Linked DNA regions of Canis lupus familiaris. The protein of the gene in region 2 purifies or fractionates together with the protein of the main gene of each other region. This does not show direct contact. Links are inferred from orthologs where the notes say so. Each region holds a gene or a part of one and is shown on either strand. Other genes may lie near its edges.

Region 1 (6,558 bases), on a different chromosome or scaffold from region 2:
TGCTCAAAATGCCAACTTCTTAGCTACCTTTCCTCTTTCACACAGATCTTTGAGTCTCAACGTATGAAGTTTTCAGAGATCCCTCAGCGGCTCCATGCCTTGCTTATGCCACCAGAGCCCATCATCATTAATCATGTCATCAGGTGAGCATGTATAGGAGAGGCAGCAGTGTGATGGAGTGGGCTGGTACCAACTTTGACAATCCAGTTGTCAAATTTCCAGGAAGCAGGTTGTCAAATAGCAATTATTTAAATTATTCAAATCTATAGTTTAGTTAAAAAGAGGATAACCTATACCCAAAAAACTCATTACTTCTTGATTATTTTATTGGATCTTACTGGTATTTATATTTTTGAGGTTTCTGTTTTTCTTTTTCTTTTTTTTTTTTTTAAGATTTTATTTATTTATTCATGAGAGACACACAGAGAGAGGCAGAGACACAGGCAGAGAGAGAAGCAGGCTCCATGCAGGGAGCCTGATGTGGAACTCAATCCCGGGACTCCGGGATCATGCCCTGAGCCAAAGACAGACGCTCAACCACTGAACCACCCAGACGTCCCAGGTTTTGAGGTTTCTTATGTCTGTTGTGTTTGTATAGTGGAAATATTAGCCCATTTCCCCTGCTATCCAAAAGTAGAGCGTTCCTATGAAAGCTTTCCTTATTTTTTTTTTATTTTTATTTTTTTTGTGAAAGCTTTTCTAAGCTGAAATGGCATAAAGCAAGAAAACAGGAATGCCTGAGTTTCTCAGTTAAGTGTCTGCCTTCGGCTTAGGTCATGATCTCAGGGTCCTGGGATCAAGCCCCACATCACTCTCTGCTCAGCGAGGAGTCAGTTTCTCCCTCTCCCTCTGTGCTCTCTCGCGCACACTCTCTCAAATAAATAAATAAAAACTTAAAAAAAAAAAAGGCAAAGTGATTACCATTAATTTAAATGGAAAATTTTTTTAATGTCTCAGACGCCCAAAATGACCTCTTTTGCACAAGATAAACAGAAATAAAGTCCACATGCTCACAGACACAAATCAAAGCTGTGGTGGCTTGCTGCTGAGATGCTGACTCTAGATCTCCCAGAGAGGGAGCTTGGGGGCACCACTTGCTGTTTGGGGTGCGCACTGCCTCTGTGATACTGCTGCAGCACAAATCCTGAATGCTAGTGTTGCTTCTTGCGGGTTCTCATAAACCTGAAAATCCTTGGAAAAACTAATGTAAGTCTTTCGGAAAAGCAAAGCAGCATAATGTGAACTTTAAAGAAGCAGGGGGGAAAAATAAATAAATAAAGAAGCAGGGGATACTTGTGTTAGGATGTGTTACTGCACATTTCATCCCAGCTCCTTGATCAGTAAAACAACTTTGGCAGCTTGTAATCAACCAGGTTGGGAATATCTAAACCACAGAAATCCACAAATGCTGCAAATTGGCTTTTTTTCCCTCCCCTTTTGGAGAATCGGTTGCTAGACATTTACCAACTCATTGTGGATGGGCTACCATCTCCTCTGTGGTTGGTAAAACATTCTAACCTGAGGCTCAACAATTCCATTATCCTTTCCCACTTTTTTGTTCAGAAGATGTCCTTCAAGATTTAGTTGGGACACTCCATCCCACTAGATATGGGGTGAGGGAATGCCTTTCCTCCTCCTCAGAGCAGCAGGTGGTTTGGCTGTAGTCTCTTTGCAGCCTTTCCCTTACTCCATGTTAATTCTGATAAAGGCTTTCCTTTCTTTATATCCTGAACTGTCACTCAGCCAATAGTAACTCCTACAATTTATATGTTGGATCATTAGAAGCTGATCTCTCTTGTATTCTTGTGCTAAAGTTAAGCCTTTTGTGTAGTGTGTGTTTTATTTGAATTTATTTTCAGGGTCAATTTTGTTTAATAGGGAGAAAGATATATAAGATACTACAGTAGTAGTTTCTTTTGGGGTGGGAGAAACTTCCTTTTCACTGAATATCTTTTGTACCATTTGAATTTTTACCATTGATTTTTTTTTTTAAAAAAACAACAGCTTTATTGGGGTTTATATACAATAGGTCATACACTCTTGAAGTATAGTTTGAGACTGTCAAACATGACACCATGTAGCTACCATCACAAGGAAGGTATGGGAAATTTCAGTTATGTGCAAAAGTTCTCTTATGTGTTTTTGCTCTCAACCTCTTACCCTCATTCTCAGGCCTTCTTCTGGATCTTGTGTAAATTGGTCTTAAGGGACAAGCCCTTTACTAGTCCCCTTTGGTTTCCTCCCCAGTGTTGACCCAAATGATCAGAAAAAGACTGCTTGTTATGACATCGATGTGGAAGTGGATGATACTTTGAAGACTCAGATGAATTCTTTCCTGCTATCTACCGCCAGCCAGCAGGAGATTGCTACTCTAGACAACAAGGTAGGGGGCCCCAGTCCTGGGTACCTTGGGTGCCACCAGCCCTCTGCCACAGCTTCTAGGCTATCTTTTGATTCTTAGCACTCATTCAGAATGTATTAACACCTAATCTATGCCAGGCACTGTGCTTGGTGCCAGTTGGAGCTGGCTGTTATGATTCTGCTATAGCTTTTAATAGCTTTGAGCCTGTTTCTGAACTATGAAATAGACACTATCATTTTTTTTTTAAAGATTTTATTTATTCATGAGAGACACAGAAAAGGAGAGAGAGAGGCACAGGCAGAGGGAGAAGCAGGCTCCATGCAGGGAGCCTGACGTGGGACTTGATCCCGGGTCTCTAGGATCAGGCCCTGGGCTGAAGGCGGCGCTAAACCGCTGAGCCACCCAGGCTGCCCGACAGTATCATTTTTTTAATAAGATTGTCATGAGGATTAAATGAGACAATGTACATAAAGACGACACAGTGTTTGGCAAGTGAAAACAAATGGTAACTGCTGCTGCTACTGTTATTTTCCTCGATAGACATTGTCCATGAAGGTAAAGCTAGAAACCATTCTGAGGAACACAAAGGAGCACAGGGACGCTTTCCTGGATCAGTTGATACCCCAACTAAATCTTGAAGGACAAAGTGAGAGTTAATGAAAGGGGAGAAAGGATAGTGCCTAGGGGTGTGGGAGGCAGAGGACATTCAGAAAGAGGGAACAGGGTAGGTAAAGGTCCCAAAATGAGAGTGAGCCTGGCATGTTCAAGAAATACAAGCTGTCTAGTGTGCTAGATATATCTTAGGGTGCTAGGAATGGGAAGTTTGGGGGAAGGAAATTGGATAGGGAAGCAGGAGTCTAATTCTAAAGAAGCTTTAGAAGGGAAACTGGTTTATTTATACTTTGTCCCAAAGACTGGAGGTAGCGATGCTCTTTGCATTTAGAATGACCACTGGCAGGAAGGCAGAGAGCAAGTTGTAAGAGAGGCAGATCTGGAGACAGGAAGGCCACTGAGGAGTCAGTGCAGTAACGCCTGTGACATGGTTTGGAGGGCCTGAACTTGGGGTACTGACAATAAGGATGAAAAGAAGTGGACAGATCTCAGAGGTGTCAAGATTTGGACCTGCAGAGATTTGGATACTCTTCATATGGGGTCAGTGGAGTGTGGCTTGAGGGAGGAGAAGGCATTATGACTCCCACGGTTTTCGCTTGGATGCATAGTAGTGTTCATTCAGATTGGCAACCGGAGAACAGAAGTGAATATTGGGGGAAAGGTAGTGAATTTTGTTTCAGAGTTTCATGTGTCTTGAATTATCAAGCAGCTAGAGTGGTTGGAGTTTAGAAAGTGGACTCTGATCTGCAGACTGAGGACTCGTGAACCCATCAGTGGTAATGGAAGATGTGCCAGTGAAGGAAGTTGCCAGGAAGAGTATGGATGATGAGAGAAGGGCAGGGACAAACCCCCCTGGGCCATGGCTTTTGAGACAGCTGCCTGTACCACCGCTCCTACCTCAGAATGTTTTTGCGCTTATTTGTGCTGTGGATTAAGTATTCACCATGTGGCTTCACCTGTAGTGGACATTGTAGGGATCAGAAGGAAAACTTCCCTCCCATGGGGCGTGTGACACAGTGCACACAGCTGCTGAAAGAATGCCGTGTGCTGGAGCAGTTGAGGCTCTGGGCAGCACTCTGGGCCTAGGTTGGGAGTGGCTGGCACATGGAAATGCAGACACCATCTGCCATTTATTTTATTTTTATTTTATTTTTATTTTTAAAGATTTAATTTATTCATGAGAGACACAGAGAGAGAGAGGCAGAGACATAGGCAGAGGGAGAAGCAGGCTCTGTGCAGGGAGCCCGATGTGGGACTCCATCCCGGGACTCCAGGATCACGCCCTGAGCTGAAGGTGGCGCTAAACCGCTGAGCCACTCGGGCTGCCCCCCGTCTGCCATTTAAGGTCGCATTTCCCAGTTTGAAATGTTATTAAGCTTCCTTCTTTTCCTTTCAGATCCATGAGACAATAGAAACTATCAATCAGCTGAAGACCCAGCGGGAGTTCATGCTGAGCTTTGCCCGAGACCCTCAGGGTTTCATCAATGATTGGCTTCAGTCCCAGTGCCGGGACCTCAAGGTAAAGAACCCGGGAAAGGTGCGAAGGGACTTAGATCAGTGAGGCACACATCTGCTTTATTTTTGTAGCATCTGGTAGAAGAGCCAGAGGGGAGGTGAAGGACCAGATTTTCTTTAGCATGTTCTCGGGTCCGTTTTACAACCAAGTAGGGAAATGGAGGTGGAACCATCGAGTGTTCATCTAGTACGTACTATGAGGTGTCACTGGTGTACCGTATCGGAGGGGATGCAGAGTGGAAAACTGGATCTCTGCTTTCAAAGCAGCTTGCGTTCTGTTTGGAGAAACTAGGCTCATAGGATTAATGCATTTATTTATTTATTTAAAATGTGAAGATCTAATTGGTTTTATTCAATGATTCATGAACTGGGCAGCATCCCTTCTAGTAAATAGGCATTCTGAGGACTTGCACAGAATGGAAAGTTTTGATAGCAAGGAGGTTACTAGCAAAAAATAAAGGATTGTTTCAGACCAGGTTATTTTCTTTTAGAGGGAAGGGAACCGACTGATACAATTTAAAAAGTTGTAAAGCAAAAAAAAAAAAAAAAAAAAAAAGTTGTAAAGTATGTAAGACATTATCGGAACTCACCACTACCAAAGACATAATTCAAAGACGGAGATGGGTGAGGCTGGAATAGCCGGGGAACGCTCCATGGCAAATTTCGGATTTGCGGTAATCCTCAGAGAGGAGAGCACCATAAGCTCAGGCAAGGAGGTGGGAGTGAGTACCGAAAGAGTGAAACGTGCCCTCAGTTTTCTCCTGTCCTGTGGTGACTGTAATTACGGAGGCTGAGCAGAGGAACACAGGACAAGGGGTGCCAGAAAGGATCCCAGAAGAGAGCAATGACTCATTAATAGCAGGGGGTGACTTTGGTCGTTGTGTTAGTAGTTTGCGAGGGCTGCCGTAGTAAAGTACCACGAACTGAGTGCCTTAACAAGAGAAATTTATTTTTATCTGGAGGCTGGAAGTCTGAAGTCAGGGTGTTGGGAGGGAGAATGTGTTTCCAGGCCCCTCTCCCAGCTTGCGATAGCCTCAGGCATTCCTTGGTTTGCAGATGGTGTTCTCCAGGTGTCTTCACATCATCTTCCCTCTGTGCATGTCTGTCTCTGTGTCCAAGTTCCCCCTTTTTATAAGGACACCAGTCCTGTTGGATTAGGCCCACCCTAATGACCTCATCTTAACTTGATCATCTGCAGAGACCCTATTTCCAAATAAGGTCACATTCACAGGTACTGGGGGGTTAGGATTTTGTCGTCTTTTGGGGGGATACAATTCATCCATAACAGGTATGAAGGAGGGAAACAAGTCCTTCTCCTCTTTCTCCCCCCTTCCCTGTCCCCCAGACCATGACCGATGTGGTGGGTAACCCAGAGGAAGAACGCCGAGCTGAGTTTTACTTCCAGCCTTGGGCTCAGGAGGCCGTGTGCCGATACTTCTACTCCAAGGTAGGTGCCTGGGTGTGGGAAATAGACAAAAAGGCAGGGATCTGAACCCCTGATGGATGTCAGTAGTATGAGGTGCCAGCTTCTGGCTTGTCTCATCTTCTGCTCCCTCCACTGTTTTCTCTCTAGGTGCAGCAGAGACGACAAGAATTAGAGCAAGCCCTGGGAATCCGAAATACATAGGGCCTCTCCCACAGTGCTGAGCTGGCTCCATCGATTCTTATTTGGGCCCTGTGCTACCTGCCTCATAGCACCTGCCTTGGCCTTGCTTGGGGCCTCCCAGGGGATGCTGTTGGTTCAAGGACAACATCAGAAAGAAGAGGGTCTCACATTTCTGTCTCATAAGACACCTGTCACCCTCTTCTCCCACCCCATCCCTTCCTGTCCCCCAGCTTCCCTTTGCCCCACAAAGTTCCCATGTGCCTCTACCCTCCCCTGGTCTACATAGGACCTCTAGGTAGCGTTAGAGAGAGAACCTGTAGTGGTAACCAGTGCATTGAATGGATTGGGCCTAAGGCCAGGTGGTCTTCAAGGGGACCAGCTACACTGATCCTGCCCTTCAGAGACCCAGGAGTTGGGAGCTTTAGTCCCTTCTCTGAGACTCAGGCCTGGGGGCACTCTATAA
Region 2 (6,658 bases):
TGGGACTCGATCCCCGGTCTCCAGGATCACACCCTGGGCTACAGGAGGCGCCAGGGTGCCACTGGGGCTGCCCTCATTTTAAATTTCTTATTGAAATATACATGCTGTGAAGTGCCCAGATTTTGTGTGGTTCAATAAAATTTTATAAAGTGAACAAATCTATTGTACCCACTACCAGATGAAAAAGAACATAACTAGCACCTTTCATTTTTTTAAATAATAAATTTATTTTTTATTGGTGTTCAATTTGCCAACATACAGAATAAGACCCGGTGCTCATCCCATCAAGTGGCCCCCTCACTGCCCGTCACCCACTCACCCCCACCTCCCGCCCTCCTCCCCAACTAGCACCTTTCATGGCACTTCTTGTCACTATCCTCTGAAGAGAAGTACTCTTGAGTTTTCACCCCAGAGATTAGTGTCTGAGTAAGGTTTTTTTTTGTGTGTGTGTGTAAGTTTTTATAAGCGGAATCATACGCCATGCTTTCTTTTGAAACTGGCTTCTTTCACTCAATATTAAGTTTTTGAGATTCGCTCATGTTGTTGTAGAAAAATAATTTGTTCTTTCCATTTTGTTTAATTCATTCTACTGTTATGGGCATTGTTTTTTTTTTTTTTTTTTTTTTTTTTTTCCAGGCTTCAAGCTACTACAATTAATGCTGTGGTGTACATACTTGCACGTGCTTTTTGGTGTATATATCCACAAGTGAAGTTGCTGGGTCATAGTATCTCTGTGTGTTCAGCTTTAGTGATAAAACTGTCTTAGTCAGCTTGGGCTACTATAACAAAATATTATAGACTGGGTGGCTTAAACAACAGACATTTATTTCTCACCATTCTGGAGGCTGGGAAATCCAAGATCAAGGTGCCAGCAGATTTGGTGGCCGGTGAGAACCCGATTCCTGGCTTGTAGACATCTGACTTCTTGCTGTGACATTACATGGCCTTTATTAGGGAGAGAGATCTCTGTCTTCCTCTTCTTATAAGGGCACTAATCGCATCATGAGGTCCCCCCCACCTTCATGACCTCATCTAAACCTGATCACTTCCAAACAGCTCACCTCCCAAATATCATCATGTTGGGGGTTAGTACTTCAACATATGAAGAAGGGGAGCACAAACATTCAAGCCACAACATACACTGTACTTTTCACTCCTGCTTTGGAGTCACCTCTGATACTCTTTGTTCCCACAATCATTTAGTTCCTAGGGGTAAAAGAGTGGACCGGTATTGTTTCTGGTTTTTTTTCCCAAGCTGCTGGCACCTATTCTGCAAGTTGAGTGCAGGGTAGGCAGTGACAAACACCTTGCAACTCTCAACTGCCAAAAATTATTTTAAGGCACAGTGATGGTAAGATGTCACCTGGTTCTGAAATATTAAAATAGGGGATGGGGGCAAGAAATATACGCATCTCGGAATTTATGGAATGAGGTATATGGCAAAGACCATGGCCTGAGGACTGTGACATTTACAAGTGGAACAAAGGACAGACTTAACAAAAGAGGTAAAGGAACTTCAGTGTGCTTAGAGCACATCTAAGAGAATGCTGGTCTCAGAGACCCTGAAAAGAGCTTGAAAAAGGAGGGAATGTGGGGGGAATGTGGGTTGAACGCTGGACTCTTGATGTTGGCTTAGGTCATGATCTCAGAGTCATGGGATCAAGCACCCCCACCCCCATCGGGCTCCTTGCTCAGCATATCCCTCTCCCTCTTCTTCTCACCCCCTCCTTTCACACGCTCTCTTTCTTAAATAAATAAATCTTTAAAAAGGAAAAAGGAGGGAATGGTCAGTGGTGTCATGGTGTCTGTGTTTCAACGAACCAGTAGGAACAAAATCATTAAACTGGGCAGAAGGGGCCTTGGAAATAAGTCAGCAGAGATACGGAGTATAAACAGAAACTTTGCCTTGAAAGGATGGAAAAAATGGGACGATAATCCAAGGCCACCATGGGCTGCAGGAAGGGCTCTCTGATTTTTATTTTTTAAATTTGTAATTTTTGTTGTATTATTTATTTATTATTTATTTATTCATGAGAGACACAGAGAGAGGGAGAGAGAGAGAGGCAGAGACACAGGCCGGAGAAGCAGGCTCCATGCAGGGTGCCTGACGTGGGACTCAACCCCGGGTCTCCAGGATCAGGCCCTGGGCTGAAGGCAGCGCTAAACCGCTGAGCCACCGGGGCTGCCCAGGGCTCTGATTTTTATTTTATTTTATTATTTTTATTTTTTTTTATTTTTACAGGGGCTCTGATTTTTAAAGATGTTAAGCCATGTTTGTACACGAATTTGCGATTCAACGGTGAAGGAGAAATGAATGGTACGAAAGATTCAGGGATAATTGCAGGAGGGAAGTTCTTAGAGCCTAATTGGAGGGACAGAAGTAGGAAGCAAGGGAGGTGGGTAGCACTGAAGTTGGTGGCAGGGTTTTGTGGGAGGAAGGGGAGGCAATTTTTGCCAAGACTCCAATACTCATGCCAAAGAACTGCTCAGTTCGGGACGTTAATCTTCCTCTCCCTGAACGGGCACACGACTGGAGGCCCAAGCGGATGGTGCACCGTCTTCTGCTGTCCACCAACAGCCCCCTCCCCGCGCCCGTGAGTGAGGACAAAGGGTTAACCACAAGGTTAAAGGTCGGTGAGGCAGCAGTACGCATAGGCTCCATCTAGCCTAACTCTGGGCCTCCAGTTTTCACCAGCTTCATGTCATCATTTCATCAATCCTCTCCTTTCTGTACCAGCCCAGACGCTCCCTCCCCGGTCCGGTCCTCACGGTGGAAGACCCCGGGCTCCCCGCCCCCGTGCCCGTCGCGCCTGCGCGTTGGGCTCCCTGGGCTCCCCCGCCCCTGTGGACAGTCACGAAGCTGCTCTCGGGCGCGCGTGCTCGGGCGGCGCCTGCGCAGAGGAACGAGGAAACCGGTTCCCCGGTGCGGTCCCTGCGCCTGCGCGCTGAGGGCTCCGGGCCTCCCGGCCTGAGGGAGAGGAGCAGGGAAGATGGCGGCTGTGGTAGAAAATGTAGTGAAGCTGTGAGTAGTGGTTTCTTTCTCTCCTAGGCCAGGAGGTCTTGTAATGGGCCTGGGAGTAGGGGGCGGCGCGGCAGGGGACTAGGCGGAGGGAAGGACGTGCCCGAGAAAGCCTTGTTGCGACTCCTAGTAGGGAGGGCAACAGGAGACTCACAGGAAGACGTTGCGCTTCTTTGGAAACTTGTGGAGGCCCTGAGGGGGGCACACGGGAGCCCCTTACGGGCAGCCTCCCTGCGGGGCTGTGCGGGCTGAGCGCTCCTTCGGGCTCGCGGTGTCCTGAGTATGGCGCCCACGTTGCAGACGAGAAACACGGTCTGAGTGCGCTCCCGAGACCAGACGCCTCGGTGCGGAGGGGCCGGGCCGGGCCGAGGGCGGCCCCGGGACCCACCCGCGTCCCCGCGAAGCCAGGCGCCCCCCCTTCCCGCCCCGCTGCCCGCAGCAGTTCCTGGAGCAACAGGCTCAGCAGCCCTTGCGTGGTTAAGCATGGCGGGGCTGTTTTAACAGCCCTGTGACGTCCGGGGGTGGGGGGTGGGGGTCTTGAGTATCTGATACCCGAGACCAAAAACATTATTGGGAAGAATTTGTTGAGGTGCGGATGCAGCAAGGAAAGAACTTGAGGGCCTTTGCGCCGGCCAGTCCAGCCACCGAAAAACGGGAAGTGGACGGAAGCGGTCCAGGACGCCTCTGCAGCCTAGAGGGGCATCTAGGTCGGCGTGCTGCGCGCTGTGCAGTCAGTCCCCTGCTGCTGGGCAGGCTGCGAGCAAAGTTAAAGTTCATGGTTGTTGGGGAAATGGAGTGTGGTCTGTTGGCCGTGAGTTAAAAATGCTTTGGGACTTGATTTAACCCAGCCTCCTCCCTGAAGAAGATCGAAATGGGTTCGTACCTGGTGGACGAATAGAGCGAACTCTGTTTAATGGGTGAATTGGGCTTGGTGCAGAGGTGGGAAAATTGAGAGGTGACTAGTTGTCCAGGCAGGGCTTGTGGATTTTGACTGGATGACAAGGTAAAGATTTGGAACTATTCTGAGGGACTCAGCTTCTCAGCTGCCTTTGTGGTGGGCTGAGCCCCCACTCTTCCCAAGAGTCTTTATGGAGAGTACGTTGCTTTGCCCACATCCCCCCACCCCCACCCCTCCCCGCCTGGAGCCTTTTCTTTGAGAATGCATTCCCACTTCCATTAAGCTAAGTGCCTTCTTCTCCTCCTGTGGGTTTTTTTTTTTTTTTTTTTTTAACTTGCTTTCAGCTCCATCCTGCGGCCTCTTTTCAGCTACCCCTCCTCCCAACACTATTATCTTTCTCTCTGATCTGCCCACTCCAGTTTCCCCCAGCTCTTTCTTCAGGCTGACATTTCCCTCAATTTAGAAATGTCGCTGTTGATCTACCATTTATATAGTTATCCTTCCTGACTCCTGTTCTTTGTTTCCCTGCGTTTCTCTTTGTTGATTACCCTCCACCCCAATCCCATTGTAAAGGGAGGTTTTACACAGTTTTCATGCTTCCCAGAAAAGAATCAGAGCTCCTACCTTGGAAATTTACTGTACTGGGGGAATGTAAGACTTGCCTAGGTTTTGCGAGTTCACGGGTAATGGGACTTTATGTTGGAAGACTTTCTTCAGGGGAATAGAGTTGTCAACCCTTTCATGTAGTACTAGAAGGGAGGAGTTGCCCATTTCAACAGAGCATGACTTACTTCTATTAAAGGGACTACAGAGATTGTGAGGGGCACCAGCCACTAGTTCCTGAGTACTAGTAACGAGAAACCAACTTTCTCCTCAGTTCTAGCTGCAGAGGACTATGGACCGCAATTAATACATTTCCTTACAAAACTTGCCCTTTGAGAAGGGGTTTCCAGTCTTCCTGTACTATTCTCACCCAGGAGAGAGATACTTTTCTGGAGCTTCTCTTGATCGTGGTATGCTTGTTTTTTGAACAGCTGAGGTTATACATTGAGGTCAGCACTACTAGCTCATCTTCTCTGGCTTGCATCTTGTTCTGAGAGAATTTTCTTATTTATGAATTCTCTCACTCTCTCTTAGTTTCTCCTCATCAGATTCTCTCTCCCCCCCCAACTTAGGCATTTCATTCCCAGTTCTCTTACTCACAAGACAGTTTGAACCACCTTCTGAAATCCCACTTAACTCACAAGTGCTTTGATAGAACATCTCTCATTGTTCCCCAAAAAAAACCAATTCTGGCCTCCATGCTGTGACTTTGCAGCCCTCAGCCTGTCTCTCCGTCCTTCCATTTGACTTCCAGTGTCAGTATCCATTCCCATCAGCAGAAACAAAGGAGCTGCTGCACTCGGCCTGTTTATCCAATTTTCCTCTGTGTGGTGAGGACATGGCTGCCTCCTAAAGGCCAGCTAATGTGAGCCTGTTCCCTTCTCTTCACTCTCCAACACAAAATTCATGCTTACCTCAAATTACAGGCATTACTGCTCATTGAATCAAGCCAGGCATCGCCTTGTGTGTGATGTATGTCTTTTTCAGTTGCTTGGGAACATACTAAGCTGTGCCTAAGTACTATATTGTGACTGCTCTGAGAAGCCCCCCTCGGATTCCAGAGCGTGGTTTGTCGGTGTATCTTGAATTACGGACATAAGCAACAGAGACTCACTCTGCCCAGCTTCTCATGCTAGGGGTCTCCCTCATGTAGAATATGTTAGAGCTTATCTAGTCTAGCAGAGGAACTTGAGCTGCATGTGGGCTGACTAAATGTCCACGTTTGTGTGACTTGCGGCCATGCAAGGTCTTTTTACTCCCAAGTCAAATGTCCCAGACACCTTCATGGGTGCTGGGGAAACTATGGGTAAGAAACCACCTCTGCCCTCAGTTTATTTAAGATTGATTGTATATGTAAATACGAATCACTGTAGTTAAAGTTCCAATATTAACATGCTTGTTAAACCCTGAGGATGAGGGATCCCTGGGTGGCGCAGCGTTTGGCGCCTGCCTTTGGCCCAGGGCGCGATCCTGGAGACCCGGGATCGAATCCCACGTCAGCCTCCCGGTGCATGGAGTCTGCTTCTCCTCTGCCTATGTCTCTGCCTCTCTCTCTTACTGTGTGCCTATCATAAATTAAAAAAAAAAAAAAAAAACCTTGGAAGATGAGATTGCTTCTATATACATGCTTCGTAGAACCAGGTTAACTCCTGGCACTGTGTAGTTTTCCAGCTTTTTGAAGCACTTAAAGGTTTGCCCTTGATTTAGATTTCAAACTGAGTCTTTTGAGTATAAGAAGGTTCTTTCCTATATAATTTGATGGTGTGAGGGGCGCTTGGGTGGCTCAGTTGGTTAAGCATCTGCCTTTAGCCCAGATCATGATCCCAGGGTCCTGGGTTGGAGCCCTGAGTCGGGCTCCCTGCTCCCTGCCACTCGCCCTGCTTGTGTTCTCTTGTGGGTGTGTGTGGGTGTGTCAAATAAATAAATAAAAATCTTAAAAAAAAAAATAATTTGATAGTGTGAGAATGGAAAAGGGCCTAGGATGGGCCTCTCTGAGCAAACAGGGTTTACATCACTCTGATAGTACTCAGTGAAAAAGTAGGCTTCAAGGAAGTTCAGGTATTTTCAGATGTTTTCCATTGACTTTAAAATTAGCATATAGAAAAAATTTTTTTAAATTTAGCATATAGAATTAATTA
Region 3 (6,558 bases), on a different chromosome or scaffold from region 2:
GGAAGACTCCTGGCTCTTCCTGGGGAGGAACCCAGGGGCTGGAAGGGTGGGTGGGGGGAGGTGTGTTTGGACCAATGAGGTCTTAAACGAGTTTTTGTCCTCCCTAGGCTAAAGAGGAGGAAGATGGCAGATAAAGTTCTACCTCAGCGAGTGAGTATGTTGGGCGGGGGCCGACGAGGCCTGCCCAGTGGCTGGCAGACTGTGGGTGCTATCAAGCTCCCCCAATCCTGGGATGGGCGAGCAGGGAGCCAGAGCTGCTGCTTAAACAAGCCAAATTCCTTCCTTCCTCCAGATTCGGGAGCTTGTCCCAGAGTCTCAGGCGTACATGGATCTCTTGGCTTTTGAGCGGAAGCTGGACCAGACCATTGCCCGAAAGCGGATGGAGATCCAAGAGGCCATCAAAAAGCCTCTGACGGTGCGTGTGCAGCCCTGGCCAGTCCTTGGCCCTCAGACTTCTCTGCCTCTCCTTGGCCTTGATTGCCAGAGGCCAAGCATGGGGCTGTGATTTCTTGCACTGCCGGATGCAGCCCATTAGTGAAGCATGAACTCAATTTCATGTGGTGGGACCAGCATGTTTTTAACAAAATACAAAATAGAAGTTCTAGGGCAGCTTGGGTGGCTCAGCAGTTTAGCACCGCCTTTAGCCCCAGGGCGTGATCATGGAGACCCGGGATCGAGTCCTGCATCCGGCTCCCTGCATGGAGCCTGCTTCTTCCTCTGCCTGTGTCTCTGCCTCGCTCTCTCTCTCTTTCTCTCTCTCTCTCCCGTGAACAAATAAATAAAATCTTAAAAAAGTAGAAGTTCTAATACTTCACAGTAGTATAGTACTTACCATAGTGGTGAAAATGTCATTTTTTTTTTTAAGATTTTATTTATTTATTCACGAGAGACAGAAAGAGAGGCAGAGACATAGGCAGAGGGATAAGCAGGCTCCATGCAGGAAGTCTGACGTGGGACTCAATCCCAGAACTCGGGGATCATGCTCTGAGCCAAAGGCAGATGCTCAACCGCTGAGCCACCCAAGCGTCTCAGAAAATATCATTTCATAACATTTTGTTTCAGATATTTGTGTATGTATGTGGATCCTTGATCATGATTGAAAGCGTGATTCTTATGGATTGTGGTCAGAAGTTTGCAGGGCAAGACTAGAGGGTAGATAAGGGTAATTCCAGTCTCCTCCCACACCTCCCCACTCCTTTTAAAAAATAATACTCTAAAACAGTCCCCTGAGTAATGAAAGCTTTCCAGAGACAAGGTTACTTTGGGGCCTGATGACTGAGTTGTGTTTAAAGTGTGAGCTGGAAGCTTCTGATTTGCCCGATAAAACCCTGTATGTCCCTGTCACCCCACCGATCCCACTGTGCTGGAATTCGGAAGTCCCATCTGCCTCCCCCAGGACTGTGAGTTCCTTAAAGTCTGGGCCTGGGATTTCTGACTCCTGGTTTCCAGTGCCTAGCAAGGTGCCTGGCCCCTCATCCACAGGCAGTATCCATGCTGAATGAGTCCAGACAGAAACATCGGGTAGCACTGTGTCCCAGCATGTTGGCCCACTGCTAGCTGGCTGTCTTTCTCGCTCTAGCAAAAACGAAAGCTGCGCATCTATATTTCCAATACGTTCAGCCCCAGCAAGGCAGAAGGCGATACTGCGGGCACCGCGGGGCCCCCTGGGGGAACCCCTGCAGGGGACAAGGTGGCTTCCTGGGAACTCCGAGTGGAGGGAAAACTGCTGGATGATGTGAGTTGGGAAATGTGGCGTCTGGAGGAGAGGTGGCCTGTGGGGGCTTAAGACTGGGGCCAGACACTTGGGCACTTTGGAGAGGTCCTGCCTGAGGGAGAGGGCTCTGCTGCAGGGGTCAGCTCTGGGCTGTCAGAGGTTGGAGGCTGACGTGCACGGCTGTGACAGTAGTTACCCTGCCGGCAGTGAGGTGTCTGGAGGGAGGGGTACCCGTCTCTCAGTCCCTGTGGGCTGCTGTGCGCAGAGCCCTTCCAGGCCTCCAGGCCCTCACTCTGCCTCGTCTCATCACTTTCTCCAGGGTCCAAGTCTTCAGTACCCCTGAGTGTCAGGGGTGAAGTGGTACTCTTTGCGGGGGGCTTAGCTTAGCTTAGGTTTGAGAGCCTAGCAGCCCCAGCTCATGCCCGTTACCGTTCCCCAGCCTAGCAAACAGAAGAGGAAGTTTTCTTCATTCTTTAAGAGTCTCGTCATTGAGCTGGACAAAGAGTTATATGGGCCTGACAACCACCTGGTGGAGGTGAGAGTGGCCCTGGGGCATGGGGAGCATGGGTGGGCCTTGGTCTCTTGGAGGGCCAAGCGTGGATGCTCATGCCCACTCCCTTAGTGATGAGGTCTGCTCCCCTCCTCCCTGCCAGTGGCACCGGATGCCCACCACCCAGGAGACTGATGGCTTCCAGGTCAAACGGCCTGGAGACCTCAACGTCAAGTGCACCCTCCTGCTCATGCTAGATCATCAGGTGACAAATGTCTGGGGCCACAGGGAGTCCTCTGGGGGAGGGGGGCAGGTTCCTATTGTGAATCCTTCCACTTTGGTTTCTCATAAGAACTCAGCCCCACCCCTGACTCTCCTCTGTTCATTTCCAGCCTCCCCAGTACAAGTTGGACCCCCGACTGGCAAGGCTGCTGGGGGTGCACACACAGACAAGGGCGGCCATCATGCAGGCTCTTTGGCTTTATATCAAACACAACCAACTGCAGGATGGGCATGAGCGCGAGTACATCAATTGCAACCGTTACTTCCGCCAGGTGAGCTGGCCGCCATCCTCCTTGCGATTCTCAAGGCCCCTGCTTTGCCCACTGCACCAAAGCCCCACGAGGCTGGTTTTTGGCCACATTCTCCACACTTCCTGTGCCCTCAGAGGCATCACCAAACCTCTGTACTCTCTAGATCTTCAGTTGTGGCCGACTTCGTTTCTCTGAGATTCCCATGAAGCTGGCTGGGTTGCTGCAGCATCCAGACCCCATTGTCATCAACCATGTCATTAGGTAAATAGAAATGGGGATGGGGGGATCCCTGGGTGGCGCAGCGGTTTGGCGCCTGCCTTTGACCCAGGGCGTGATCCTGGAGACCCGGGATCGAATCTCACATCGGGCTCCCGATGCATGGAGCCTGCCTCTCTCTCTTTCTCTCTGTGACTATCATAAATAAATAAAAAAAAATTAAAAAAAAAAAAAAAGAAATGGGGATGGGAAGACTCTTTTAAGAGCCATTTACTTTTGGCTTGATCTAAAAGCCAAAGAGAAGCAGCAAGTTTGGCTTCTTGCTCCTTAAGCGTGTGCAGGTTTGGCCCAGGCGGGTGGGATGGATATAGCCGTGTGCTTACCCTTCCCGCTGGTGTCCTGCCTGCAGCGTAGACCCTAACGACCAGAAGAAGACAGCATGTTACGACATTGATGTGGAGGTAGACGACCCACTCAAGGCCCAGATGAGCAATTTTCTGGCCTCTACCACCAATCAGCAGGAGATTGCCTCCCTCGATGTCAAGGTGGGCCCTCTGCCTCTCCAGCCTTCTATGGGACCCAAGATGGGAGTGGACAGGCTCTGCTGGGCATTTCTGTACACATAGCACCTTGGGATAGGATCTCTGAGTCCTTAGGGGTGAGGCCTGGAAACAGGACTCCTTGAGAGTGGGGGCCAGTCTGACATGTGTACTCCTTTCTCCAGATCCATGAGACCATTGAGTCCATCAACCAGCTGAAGACCCAGAGGGATTTCATGCTCAGCTTTAGCACGGACCCTCAGGACTTCATCCAGGAATGGCTCCGTTCTCAGCGCCGAGACCTCAAGGTGCGCTCCTCTTCCTGAGGTGGATTCCATGCAGCCCTAGGGGAGGTTTACCCGCCTCACTACTACCGCTTCCAGGGGCAGACTTGCACAGGGGTGGAAACTGCATATAGACAACTCTCTTTCTGGCTCTCTGCAGATCATCACTGATGTGATTGGGAATCCTGAGGAGGAGAGACGAGCTGCTTTCTACCACCAGCCCTGGGCCCAGGAAGCAGTTGGGAGGCACATCTTTGCGAAGGTGAGGCTCTGCCCTGTGCACCCTCTTGAGCTTGTGAGCAGCAGCGGCCTGAACCACTTGTCTCTCCTCTCCAGGTGCAGCAGCGAAGGCAAGAACTGGAACAGGTGCTGGGAATCCGCTTGACCTAACCGCTCAGGGAACCCCTCCTCTGCCTGGAAGGGGACCACTCTCTGGGGCCACAGACACATAGGCTAAGGATGGGGTGAGGGCTGTGTCCTGTTACCCTGTGCTCCCCAGCTATAGTTTCATAAATGTAGTGATAGGATTCTTTGTTGCTTGGTCCCCAAAGCCTTATACTTACTTCATACTTTGGCTTTAAATGGGTTCACAAGAGATGCCTCCTCTGCTCCCTGCAGGCAGGCAGGCCCAAGTAGGTCTGCTGGAGGCTGTACTTTGACATTGTCATGGAGACATTTCAGAACCAGGCCTGCTGGCTTTGCTTGTTTACAGACCCCCTTGGGGCCAGTGTGCGAGCTGGCTCTGGGGAGCTGGGTGAGGAAGAGGAGCACAGCTCACACTCTTCCTAGCCTTTCTAAACCAAAGTTCTTCGCCATTCCTACCAGCCCAGCCTTGCTGCTGGTTTTTTCCTTTCCTTTGGGTATTTGCACTATGTGGGAAGCAGGTTTTTCTATGCGGGAGCCACTTTTTTGTACAGGGGTAAGTTGGGGTTTTCAGGGAGTCCTGTTTGGTGCCTCCTTCCGTATTTTTTTTCCTCAATCTATGCAAGCGGCTCTGGCCGCCATCATCTCCTCGGATGCCAGAGGGCTGTCACCCTAGCTCTTGAGCCCAAGGTGGTGGAGCCTCCTCGGAGGGGACTCCAGTTCTCTGGCACGGCCTGAGGTACACGGGTGTGTGCTCCACACGGTGGAGGGCAGGGGGTGTGAGGGGGGAGGTGGGGAGGACTATTGTTGCCCTTTGGAGCTTGGTAGGAGGGTGGACCCCAGGGCTTGGCAAGTGCCACTTCTGGCAGGTTGGAAATTTCCAAATAAATCCTTGTTTATTGGTGGTACCTGGACCTGGTCATTGAATAGTATGGCCACTCATTAACAGACTGAAGTCCTTAAGGCTTGTCCTGCAGAGCTTTATTTGAGGGATCCACACAAAAGACAAGCACCTTACTTCCATAGCTTCTTGATAGACATATTTTTCTCACTATCCTTCTGCATGACCTGGAGAGAGAAAGCATGAAGTTACCAACAGAATGAACACACCCTCTGTCCCCCCTGCTCGAGATGCCGTCAGCAAAGCAGAAAGGTGGAGGCCTCTACCTTGGCTACGGCCATCTCAAAGTCCTCCTGGGTGACATGGACTCGCCGCTCCCGCAGGGCATACATGCCGGCTTCGGTGCACACACCCTGAGCAGAGAAAGGAAGTCAGGCACTGTGGCTGTGCCCTTGACCCCACAGCTTTCCACCTCTGCCCCCTTTTCCTTGGGCTCCCTGATTACCTTCACTTCAGCCCCTGAGGCTCCAGGCATGAGCTCAGCAATTTTCCGCAGGTTGATCCCCCGGGTCAGGTTCATTTTCCGAGAATGAATCTTTAAAATGTCCAGCCGGGCCTAGAAAGGAGAGGAGAAGCCTGAGCCCTGTGGTCTACTCCCACAGCCAGAGCCATTCCCTGCTCTGCCCCTCACCAACCTCCTCGTTGGGCGGTGGGAATTCAATTTTTCTGTCGATGCGCCCAGGGCGAAGCAGCGCTGAGTCCAGGATGTCAATCCTATTAGTAGCCATGATAACCTGAATGGAAAAGGCGGGTGGTGGCTCCGGCCAAACCCTGCCTCGGGCTGTACCTCACCCAGGATCTTCCCTTAGATGCCACATTACCTTGATATTCTTGGTGGCCTCAAAGCCATCCAACTGGTTGAGCAACTCCAGCATTGTCCGCTGTACCTCACTATCCCCTCCAGAACCCCCTTCCAGCCGTGAGGAGCCAATGGAATCAATTTCATCCATGAAGATGATCGATGGAGCGTGTTCTCGTGCCATGACAAATAGTTCCCTCACCATTCTTGCCCCTGTGCAGAGGCCAAGCTGGCGTTAAGAAGGCAATGAGCTCCCTACCCTCACCTCCACCCAATCACTTCTTGGTTTTATTGTTTCTAGCCATAGTTACCTTCCCCAATGAATTTCTGTACCAACTCGGAACCAGAAACCCGAATAAAGGTACAGTCTGTATGATGAGCCACCGCCCGGGCCAACAGTGTCTTCCCAGTGCCGGGGGGTCCATACAGCAGCACCCCCTAGAGAGAAACAGCAGAACTCAGGGCAGAAGCCATCCCCACATTACACTCCGTGAACATTTACTGGGTGTTGACCCTGGGCTAGATCCCGTGCTAGATACCAGGGGTATAAATCATGAACGTCAAGGTCCTTTCTAGTGCTGCTTTCTGAACTACCTCAGTGCCCTGGCTGCATTCTCCAGCCCCTCTTCCATGGGGAGGGCCAGCATTAAGTGGGGGTCCAGACACCTCCCCTGAGCCCTGTACTCACTTTGGCAAGGGCAGGACATGCCAGTAACAGC

What was found.
Region 1: the proteins of DPF2 (region 2) and SMARCD1 purify together in Homo sapiens (affinity purification with mass spectrometry; 9 studies listed by BioGRID and IntAct, counting the BioPlex papers as one, with this or other methods). This does not show direct contact. The link is inferred for Canis lupus familiaris from reciprocal best matches to the Homo sapiens genes DPF2 and SMARCD1.
Region 3: the proteins of DPF2 (region 2) and SMARCD2 purify together in Homo sapiens (affinity purification with mass spectrometry; 6 studies listed by BioGRID and IntAct, counting the BioPlex papers as one, with this or other methods). This does not show direct contact. The link is inferred for Canis lupus familiaris from reciprocal best matches to the Homo sapiens genes DPF2 and SMARCD2.

Annotation. Positions count from the first base shown.
Region 1 is NC_049248.1:42,020,460-42,027,017, forward strand, and holds part of SMARCD1 (SWI/SNF-related matrix-associated actin-dependent regulator of chromatin subfamily D member 1), read left to right. Parts: intron 1-45; coding exon 46-143; intron 144-2,247; coding exon 2,248-2,383; intron 2,384-4,370; coding exon 4,371-4,493; intron 4,494-5,417; exon of another isoform or gene 5,418-5,834; coding exon 5,835-5,936; exon of another isoform or gene 5,937-6,058; intron 6,059-6,062; coding exon 6,063-6,116; 3' UTR 6,117-6,558. UniProt on the Homo sapiens protein: Involved in transcriptional activation and repression of select genes by chromatin remodeling (alteration of DNA-nucleosome topology).
Region 2 is NC_049239.1:52,348,229-52,354,886, reverse strand, and holds the start of DPF2 (zinc finger protein ubi-d4), read left to right. Parts: upstream 1-2,871; 5' UTR 2,872-2,990; coding exon 2,991-3,022; intron 3,023-6,658. UniProt on the Homo sapiens protein: Plays an active role in transcriptional regulation by binding modified histones H3 and H4. Is a negative regulator of myeloid differentiation of hematopoietic progenitor cells. Might also have a role in the development and maturation of lymphoid cells.
Region 3 is NC_049230.1:15,134,220-15,140,777, forward strand, and holds the end of SMARCD2 (SWI/SNF-related matrix-associated actin-dependent regulator of chromatin subfamily D member 2), read left to right. Parts: intron 1-107; coding exon 108-150; intron 151-292; coding exon 293-415; intron 416-1,579; coding exon 1,580-1,735; intron 1,736-2,153; coding exon 2,154-2,249; intron 2,250-2,367; coding exon 2,368-2,469; intron 2,470-2,596; coding exon 2,597-2,758; intron 2,759-2,900; coding exon 2,901-2,998; intron 2,999-3,362; coding exon 3,363-3,498; intron 3,499-3,677; coding exon 3,678-3,800; intron 3,801-3,936; coding exon 3,937-4,038; intron 4,039-4,112; coding exon 4,113-4,166; 3' UTR 4,167-5,053; downstream 5,054-6,558. Other genes in the region: PSMC5 (26S proteasome regulatory subunit 8), read right to left, coding at 5,154-5,207, 5,307-5,393, 5,486-5,596, 5,676-5,774, 5,862-6,052, 6,151-6,277. UniProt on the Homo sapiens protein: Involved in transcriptional activation and repression of select genes by chromatin remodeling (alteration of DNA-nucleosome topology).